Sus scrofa: one gene and its partner. Each later gene encodes a partner of the first gene's protein in a complex. Links are inferred from orthologs where the notes say so. Each region holds a gene or a part of one and is shown in the gene's direction. Other genes may lie near its edges. The genes, in order: APLNR and APLN.

What was found.
Region 2: the proteins of APLNR (region 1) and APLN are in contact, whole or in part, in a cryo-EM structure (PDB 8XZG), measured with the Homo sapiens proteins. The link is inferred for Sus scrofa from reciprocal best matches to the Homo sapiens genes APLNR and APLN. Residues at the interface, in NP_005152.1 of Homo sapiens: Tyr35, Phe78, Trp85, Tyr88, Thr89, Tyr93, Ser106, Ile109, Phe110, Met113, Pro163, Val164, Arg168, Gln180, Cys181, Tyr182, Met183, Tyr185, Glu194, Glu198, Leu201, Gly202, Ser205, Tyr264, Lys268, Tyr271, Ser275, Cys281, Asp284, Leu285; in NP_059109.3 of Homo sapiens: Arg66, Pro67, Arg68, Leu69, Ser70, His71, Lys72, Gly73, Pro74, Met75, Pro76, Phe77.

The regions. Positions count from the first base shown.
Region 1 is NW_018085198.1:66,924-71,240, forward strand, and holds the start of APLNR (apelin receptor), read left to right. Parts: upstream 1-1,390; 5' UTR 1,391-1,692; coding exon 1,693-2,844; 3' UTR 2,845-4,317. UniProt on the Homo sapiens protein: G protein-coupled receptor for peptide hormones apelin (APLN) and apelin receptor early endogenous ligand (APELA/ELA), that plays a role in the regulation of normal cardiovascular function and fluid homeostasis.
Region 2 is NC_010461.5:106,243,582-106,248,070, reverse strand, and holds the start of APLN (apelin), read left to right. Parts: upstream 1-1,507; 5' UTR 1,508-1,819; coding exon 1,820-1,886; intron 1,887-4,489. UniProt on the Homo sapiens protein: Peptide hormone that functions as endogenous ligand for the G-protein-coupled apelin receptor (APLNR/APJ), that plays a role in cadiovascular homeostasis. Functions as a balanced agonist activating both G(i) protein pathway and beta-arrestin pathway of APLNR.

The DNA.
Region 1 (4,317 bases):
TTTTAAATGGCCTCATCCATGGCATATGGAAGTTCTCAGGCTAGGGATCAAATTCAAGCCGCAACTGAATCCTTTGTGGCAACACCGAATCCTTTAACCCACTGTGCTGGGATCAAACCTGTGCCTCTGCTGAGACCAGAGCTGCTGCAGTTAGCCCATTGTGTCACAGCAGGAACTCCCTTATAAGCTTTTTGAATATGGCCAAGACTCATTTCCTGATTTAGTTTTATCCCACTCTTGCCTAACTTTCAATGGCTTCCGTCCCTCTTGGGGGTGCAATTTTTCATCTTTTCTTGTGCATAGCCGCCTTCTTCTTGCCCAGAGGCCCTGGGAGAGGTGAAGAGACAGGGTCAAGTCAGTTTCTCCGGGACTTTGCCCAGGGCATCTGCTCAGTGGCCTCTTTTTTCTGCCTCCCCCTTCAGTTATAACTTCCTGACCCCCACATGGTCTTATAGAAACTGCCTGATCCATGTAGGGCAGTAAAGACTTGAGGACTCAAATGTACATGTGTTCTCACTGCATAGTAATTCATAACCCGTTCTCCTATATATGAACTCCTCCTTTCATTCACTCCCTAACTCACCCACCTACTTACTCATCCACTCAACAACCATTTAGTGATCACTCACCACATGCCAGGCACCAGCTTAGGTGCCTGGAGAAGAAGAAAGGCAAACAGCAAAACCCAAACAAAATTTACCTTGCAACATAGGGAAGATGTTTACCTGCTTGGCCTCAGTTTCTCCCTAGATTAATGACTTGATTAGAGATCCTTTAAGCTGGGGTTTCTTTCTTCTGTGACTGTCTTCGATCCTCTAAAACGTCCTATGCCATCTGCAAACTGCACTCTACTTATGAATTCTAGAGAAATTCCTCTATAACCAGGTCTGTGAACCACAGAAATCCAGAGAGTCAGAGCCGAGGTGTAAAGAAGGATGATGTGGGGGGAGGGACACAGTGAAGCCTGGACTGGGTGGGGGCTGGGAGAGTGGGAGCTGGTGTGTGGAGGACAGACTGGCCTGCCTGGAGGGCTTGCCAGATGCTCAGACCATCCTGCGAAATCTCACACCCCCTACCCTCCCTGGCTCCGGCTCCAGCTGGATTTCAATCTGCATAATTTGTCCCATTTAGACTGGCTGGGAGAGGGTGACAACCGGAGGATGCAAAGGACAGGACCGAGGAACACCGGAGGAGACCAGAGGGAGAGGGGCTGGGCCCTGAGGAGAGCAGGCTGCGAAGCACAGATAACATTCTGCCCAGCACGGCAGGGGTCAATTTGGTCCACTTGCCCAGTGACAAGAAGGGAAAAAAAAAAAAAAAAAAAAAAAAAAAAAGTGGGCTGTAACTTCAAGATCTTAAGACTCACAAGTGAGGGGTTGGTCTGGAGGTGGGAGGAGGGAGGGACAAGCCAAGGAGGAGACAGAGACACAGGAGGGCGAGGAAGTGCCTGAGCTGAGGCTGGGGCAGGGCAGGAGGCGGTGGAGGGAAGCCTGGGGGAGTCAGGCGTCCTCCTGGGTCCTGGGGCTTCAGAGGCAGCTCCTCCTGCTGCCGGAAAAGGCTCCGGACACCTTCAGCCCTCCTCGCCTGCGCTGAGAGGCTCCAGCCAGAGGCTCAGGGTGCTTGCTGAGCGGGTGACAGCCACGGAGCTGGTACCCCGGGACCCCCTGCCCTGTCCTCTCTCTGCTCCCAGGCATGGAGGAAGGCGGCGATTTCGACAACTACTATGGGGTGGACAACCAGTCTGAGTGTGAGTACACAGACTGGAAGTCCTCGGGGGCCCTCATCCCTGCCATCTACATGCTGGTTTTCCTGCTGGGCACCACGGGCAACGGCCTGGTGCTCTGGACCGTGTTTCGAAGCAGCCGTGAGAAGAGGCGCTCCGCTGACATCTTCATCGCCAGCCTGGCGGTGGCCGACCTGACGTTCGTGGTGACCCTGCCGCTGTGGGCCACTTACACGTACCGGGACTACGACTGGCCCTTCGGCGCCTTCGCCTGCAAGCTCAGCAGCTATCTCATCTTCGTCAACATGTACGCCAGCGTCTTCTGCCTCACCGGCCTCAGCTTCGACCGCTACCTGGCCATCGTGAGGCCGGTGGCCAACGCTCGGCTGCGGCTGCGGGTCAGCGGGGCCGTGGCCACGGCGGTCCTGTGGGTGCTGGCCGCCCTCCTGGCCATGCCGGTCATGGTGTTCCGCACCACCGGTGCCATCCTGCACGCCGAGAACGGCACCAAGGTGCAATGCTACATGGACTACTCCATGGTGGCCGCCCCCAACTCCGAGTGGGCCTGGGAGGTGGGCCTGGGGGTCTCGTCCACCGCCGTGGGCTTCGTGGTGCCCTTCACCGTCATGCTGACCTGCTACTTCTTCATCGCCCAGACCATCGCCGGCCACTTCCGCAAGGAGCGCATCGAGGGCTTGCGGAAGCGGCGCCGCCTGCTCAGCATCATCGTGGTGCTGGTGGTGACCTTCGCCCTGTGCTGGATGCCCTACCACCTGGTGAAGACGCTCTACATGCTGGGCAGCCTGCTGCACTGGCCCTGCGACTTCGACATCTTCCTCATGAACGTCTTCCCCTACTGCACCTGCATCAGCTACGTCAACAGCTGCCTCAACCCCTTCCTCTATGCTTTCTTCGACCCCCGCTTCCGCCAGGCCTGCACCTCAGTGCTCTGCTGGGGCCAGAGCCAGTGCGGGAGCGCCTCCACCAGCAGCAGTGGGGAGAAGTCAGCCAGCTACAGCTCCGGCCACAGCCAGGGGCCTGGCCCTGGCCTGGGGAAGGGCGGAGAGCAGACGCAGGAGAAATCCATCCCCTACAGCCAAGAGACGCTCGTGGTTGACTAGGGCCAGGGATCCCTGGAGGCTGGGGTCCCCTGCTCCACCCCCCCGCCTTGGCCCTTGCCCTCTGAAGGTCGGGTCCTCAGGAGACCTTCTCTCTTGCACTTGACTCCATCACTACCCAACCCCCCGCCCTCCGTATGGTCCTTTCTCCCCCTTGATTCTGGTTAAGAGGTTTGTGGTTTAGTGGCAAGGAATTGAGCCCTGCAGACCCAGGCTTGGCCACTCAGTATCAGTGAGGTGGACCTTGCACCGGTCTCTTAACCTCCCTGAGCCTCAGTTTCTCCATTTGTATAAAACGGAGAAAATGAAATGATGGATGCATCTTGGCTCAATAAAAATTCATTTCCCCCATGAAATTCATTCTTTTTCTCTGCTCTCCAGTTCTTTTTTCCCTCCCATTTCCTTTTGGTGTTCTTGCCCCTCACTCTCCTTCTATTCCCGCCACTTCCCCCCCCACCCCCCCACAATTTTTACTCTGAATCTTTACCTTCTGCCTCCCACCCCCTCCCTCAGAATTCGTCCCTCTCCCTCAATCCCTCCTTCCCCCTTTTACCTCCTTGTTCTGAAGGGCTCCTAAGGGTTAAGAATCCTGAAGCTTGCAAACAGGGCCCCAGTTCGAGCTCTTTATCCTGTTCCCTGAGGGCCCCTAGAGGGAAGTAGGCTGGGTGTCTGCAAAGTTACCGCTCTGATCCTCTGCAGCCCTGCAAAGTTACTGCTCCAAAGTCTCTGCAGCTGGGAGCTCCGGGGCTTCCCTCCAAACTGGACCGGTTTGCTGTCATTTCGGGCATGGGAGGTGCAGTGGTCCGCAGAAGGGGGACTCCCTTCCTGCAGCCGCTGCCTGAGGCCAACTAGATATGCTTTCTACCAATTTCCTCAGAGCCTTTCATTCACCCTCTCTCCTCTGTGTGGGGGGGACTGGAAAGCAGTGGGTTTGATGAAGCAGCAGGCTCTTGGGTTTCATTGTACCATTGGGGAGTGGGGAAGGGAAGAGGGAGAAAGAGAGGTGTCTGTATTTAGTCTCCATGCTGCTTGGGTTCCCTCCCCAAATCCTCATTCCTCCACTTTCCTCCAGAACCGGGACCTGCAGGTCTCTCCCTGTCCCTCTACTGCATCCCGACATCGCCAGGACATTTTCCTTGGGCACTGATGTGAGTTGGTGCCAAGTCACTTTGGTGGGGGTGGGGACTTGCTTTGTGTGTGTATGTATGTGTTGGTGTGCATGAGCATAACGTGGAGGGCCGTGTGCCTGTGTCACCTGTCACTTGGATGAACACCCCTCCCCCACTCATCTCTGCCCTTCACACCGTATCCTTGAGGGAAGAAGGGACCTTCTGCATCCACCCCCCACTGGATTTGGGGGCTCTGACGGCTGGTCCGTGCTGTAAAAGAGACGTCTATGTTGGTACCCAGGCTTTCTGCAGGGAGAGCACTCCCCAAAGCAGCTCATGCCCAAAGCTGGGTGGTGGGGGGGTCCCT
Region 2 (4,489 bases), on another chromosome or scaffold:
GCTCTCCCTCCCACCTCTCCGCCTTTTCGCTACTGGACTGGGGTAATGGGGCCATAGGCCATGAACTAGAACCCTATTTATTCCCTTCCCACTACCTTGACATACACAATAGGAATGGTTTCGAAAAGTTCGTGTGTATCTTCAAAATTATGTAGGGACCACCAACCATGTCCCAGGCATTGCCTAGGTCTGGGGATTCAGCTGTGAACAAAGCAGAGATCCCTGCTATGGAGCTGACAAACGTGGAGGGAGACTGATTTTAAAAATTGTGCTTATACTGGATTGTTTTAACATTTCAAAAATACGCTACCTCTACTGTGGTCCCTCCTATCTTTGGTGGCACCATACACATGGCTGTGTTTTTTTTTTGTGTGGAAATCTGGGCTTGCATATTGAGCAAACCGCCTGGCTGGCTGAAATGTGGAAACACCTTTGATTTAGGCTTTTAACATGTGTTGAGTGCCACCTATGTGCAGAGCCCGATACTGGGGACTTTGGAGAGATGCAGAAGCATAAAGAGACAAGGTCCTATCTGAGGGGATTCCCAGCGTCGTGAAAGACGGAGTCTCTTTTGTCGGGGGCCCCCAGGCTGTAGGAGCTGACAATCTGGTCTGGGAAGGGAGGCAACTTCAGGACCCACTTACAAAGGGTACATGCACAATGAATCCAGCCCAGACTGTTTGGAGTTGGGTAAAAGGCCTCTGATGATGATGGGGAGCAAGAGAGGGGATGCCATAGAAGCTGTTGCATGTCCCAATGGTGAAGAGGAGCCCAGGGGCGGCCTCTCCTGGATTACTGTCATCCTGGCAAGTCTTCTGAATGAAATGAGATGAGATTGGAGGCGCAGCTCTAAGTCTTGAAGAACTCAGCGGAAGAATGGGATGGCGTGGGGTGGGGGCACTCCAGGTAGAGGGTGTCTCCTGGGGGGGCCGGCGAAAGGAGAAATGGGGACGCTGGGCAGTTAGGCAGGCTTGGGCAGGACTGAAACCCAGATGCAGAGGAGAGCAGAGGGCCCATGAGTGAGGGTCTTGGCCAAGTCCTTACAGCTACTGAGCGGCAGTGGGAAAGGACCAGATCAGAGGGAGGGCGGGTGAGTGGGGGCAGCACCCTGGGTTTCTTGACAACTGTTAAGGAAGCCTGGTGACAAAGGGTTAAATATGCCCCTCCACTGCCCCAAATGCTTCCTGTGTTTGAAATCCCTCAGGTCTCCAAACCCTCTGGCCCCTGGCCAGGCGGGCATTGTCCCGGGGAGCGGTTGTGGGCTGTCGGAGCGGCCTCGCAGCCTTTGTTGTGGGGCCACCTCGAGGTTCCCTCTCGCGCCCTGGCTGGGGCTGCCTAGTGCGTGCCGCCGGGAGGGGGCGGTGCGGGAGGCTCGCTCCCTCTCCCTCTTCCTGGCCCCCCTCCAGCCCTCCCGATGACCACATGACCAAGTGGGCTCGCGGCCAAGCCACAGGCTACAAAATGCAGCCCCTGGAGTGAGCGGGGCGCATTCTCGCTGGCAGCCTGAGCCACGGGCCGTTGGAGTCGCGGCCGAGCAGTCAGCCACTTGGAAAGAGCTCGCTGCCGCCCCCGGAGCCGCCGCGGCCAGCTGGGCGGCGCTGCCCCGCGGCGCAGAGGGAGGCTGCGGGAGAGAGGAGGAGGCGGCCGGCCAGCGGCCCGCGGCGCGGCTCGGGGCGCACGGTCTCGCGGCCCGGGAGCCACGCGAGTTCCGCGCCCGCACGCACAAGCCGCGGCTCGCGCCTCGCTCGGCCTCGGGGCTCCCGGCCTCTCCGCCCCCGCCCCCTGGCCAGGGCTGCGCGGCGGCGGCCGGAGGAGCAGCATGAATCTTCGGCTCTGCGTGCAGGCGCTCCTGCTGCTCTGGCTCTCCCTGAGCGCGGTGTGTGGAGGTGAGTGCGCGCCCTCCCGCTCGCCTGGGCGGCAGCCCGCGCGCTCCCTGCCCTCCGCCCCGACGATCGCGCTCTCTCCGCCTCCCGGGGGGCCGGGCGCGAGCCGTGCAGCAGCCGCCACGCGCCGGGCGGCCGACTGACAAGGCGCCCGGGGCCAGGGGCCGGCCGGCCGCGGGCACCGCTCCTTCCGGGGTGCTCGGCTCGGCCTGGGGCATCACCCCCGCGGCGCCCGACCCCTCCTGGCTCCCCCTTGCATCCTGAGGAGCTCAGGGCCGCGGGCGTGTTCTCGGTGTCCGGCGCCCCGCACCCCACGTGGTGGAGAGCATGTGCGGGGAGGGGGGGGGCACGTCCCGCTGCCCTGGTGGATCATTGGAGGGAACTGACCTGAGTCCGGTGGGCTGGGTTCCTGCGTGGAAGGTTTTCTGGTTCCCAGCGGTTAGGGGCCGCCGGCCGGTCTGGGGGCGCGGGCCACTGGGGATGATGTGCCAAGATGCAGACGTGACACTTGTTGCATAGGCAGGAGCGCGCGGCGAGGGCGGCGGCGTGGAGCCCAGCTGTTGCTCCTTTCAGCCTGCATGTGAGCAGAGGCAGCCTCCCCTGGGCTGGGCCAGGCAGGGCCGGGCCAGGCTGGTCTCCTCCCTTACCCCCAAGTCCTGTCTGGTCTGCTCTCCTGCTCCCACGCAGAAGGCCCTCCTCGCAGTCTCTGTTCCCCACCAGGGATTCGGTTCTTCGATATCCTGGCCCCGGCCTCCTCTCTGCCCCAGGCATGGGCATGCTTGACCTCAGTCTCTGTCTCCAGGCACCAAACCAGGAAGCAGCGCCCGACCTGACACCTCCATGCAACTCGCCCCCACCTGCACCACACCCCCACCTGGCATACTTGGCACCCGTGCTCCCTCACCCTCTCCAGGCCTGGTCCCCACCCACACCCCAGCAGCCCCAGACAGGGCTGCCTGTCCTCCGTGCGTCAGTGTCTCCTGGGGCTGCCAGCTCTTACCTCCAGCTGCCACAGTCCTGTGATCTGGCTGTCACTGCAGAATAGGCAGGCGGGGACCAGGGGGACTAATGCCAGTGCCAGGGCTGGAGTCGCAGGAAGAGGGGTGCAGGGGGAAGGAGAGAGCAGGACAGTAAGTTTCTTAGAGGAAGGGCCCAGGGCGCTACTTGGTTCCAGATTCTTCAGAACAGAAGGATGTCCTACAGCCCTGGAGCCTGTGAGGGACCTGGCGGGGCGCCACTTCTCTCTTTGTAGGTCACCTCCTCTCTCTGCTCTTGCCTTTTGGCACTGCCCTGGCCCTGGGAGCTCTGCCTGGCTTCTCAGAAAGGTGAATTGGTTGGATCTGGCACCACCTGCCTTCAGCTAGCTGTCCAGTGGTCTCTCTCCGCAGGGCCCAAGCCCTGGGGCAGCCACGTCCTTGGTAAGAAGGGAGCAGGCCTTTTCCTCACAAACTCCCATCGGGCCGGCAATGGTGGAAAGAGAACGAAAGGTCCGAAGGCAGGACACGGCACGGGTCTGCCCTCTGGGAGCATGCCATCCCGTGCAGTTGGCGAGACCAGGCACCACGTGACACCACCGCTGGCAAATAGTCCAAGGTGGTGCCTTCAGGGAAGAGAGAGTGGGTGCAGAGAGGGCGTCCCAGAGGAAGATGGCCCTTCCTGATCTGCACCCTTGGGGCTCCCCCAGAGCCTACGGGGAGAACCTTGGCTCCCCTTGACCGCCACTCGGAGCCTTCCAGGGTCCAGCTGTTGGGGTGGTCCTGGTCAAGGGATAGCTGGTTTCCAGGGTAGGGAACGTTGTGTCTGGCCCAGGCCCTGCCTTTTCCTGCCTCACTTCACCAGTTTTTTGTTTTTGGTTTTTTGGGGTTTTTTTTGTTTGTTTGTCTTTTCTAGGGCCACACCCGCAGCACATGGAGGTTCCCGGGTTAGGGGTCTAATCGGAGCTGTAGCCCCCGGCCTACGCCACAGCCACAGCCATGCCAGAACCGAGCTGAGACTTCGACCTACACCACAGCTCACGGCAACGCCGGATCCTTAACCCACTGGGCGGGGCCAGGGATCGAACCCACAACCTCAAGGTTCCTAGTTGGATTCATTAACCACTGCGCCATGACGGGAGTTTTTGTAAGGTCACCTGTCCCCACAGCCTGCTTTGGGTAAATCTGTTGCCCTCACATTTTGCTCAAGCCCTGGCACTGGAAATGTCCAAAGTTCCCCCTGCCTCCCCACCCCACCCCCTGCTCTCTCTTGGAGCCGAGGAGGAGGGACACCTCCATGCAGGTAGCCACCAGCCCAGGGTCTGGGGACACATGTCCTGCTCCTCCTGCCCCCTGTCCTGGGCCAGAAAAAGGGGCCATTTCTGTGCCACCTTGCCCTTGGCGCAGGCTTGCATGCCGTCCTCAGCCACAGTCCCCTGTCAAAGTTCCAGGCTTGAAAACTGTGCTTCCTCTGCAACATGCTCTGTCCTGACTTGGAATAGGCACCTGCACCAACACACACCAACTCCTCTGCTGCCTCCTGACCTGGGATGCACTTTGCTCTTCTGAGTCTGAGAGCTGCTGACCTTGCTGAGGAGACCTTGCTCTTTGTCTGAGCACCTCTTTCTCTTC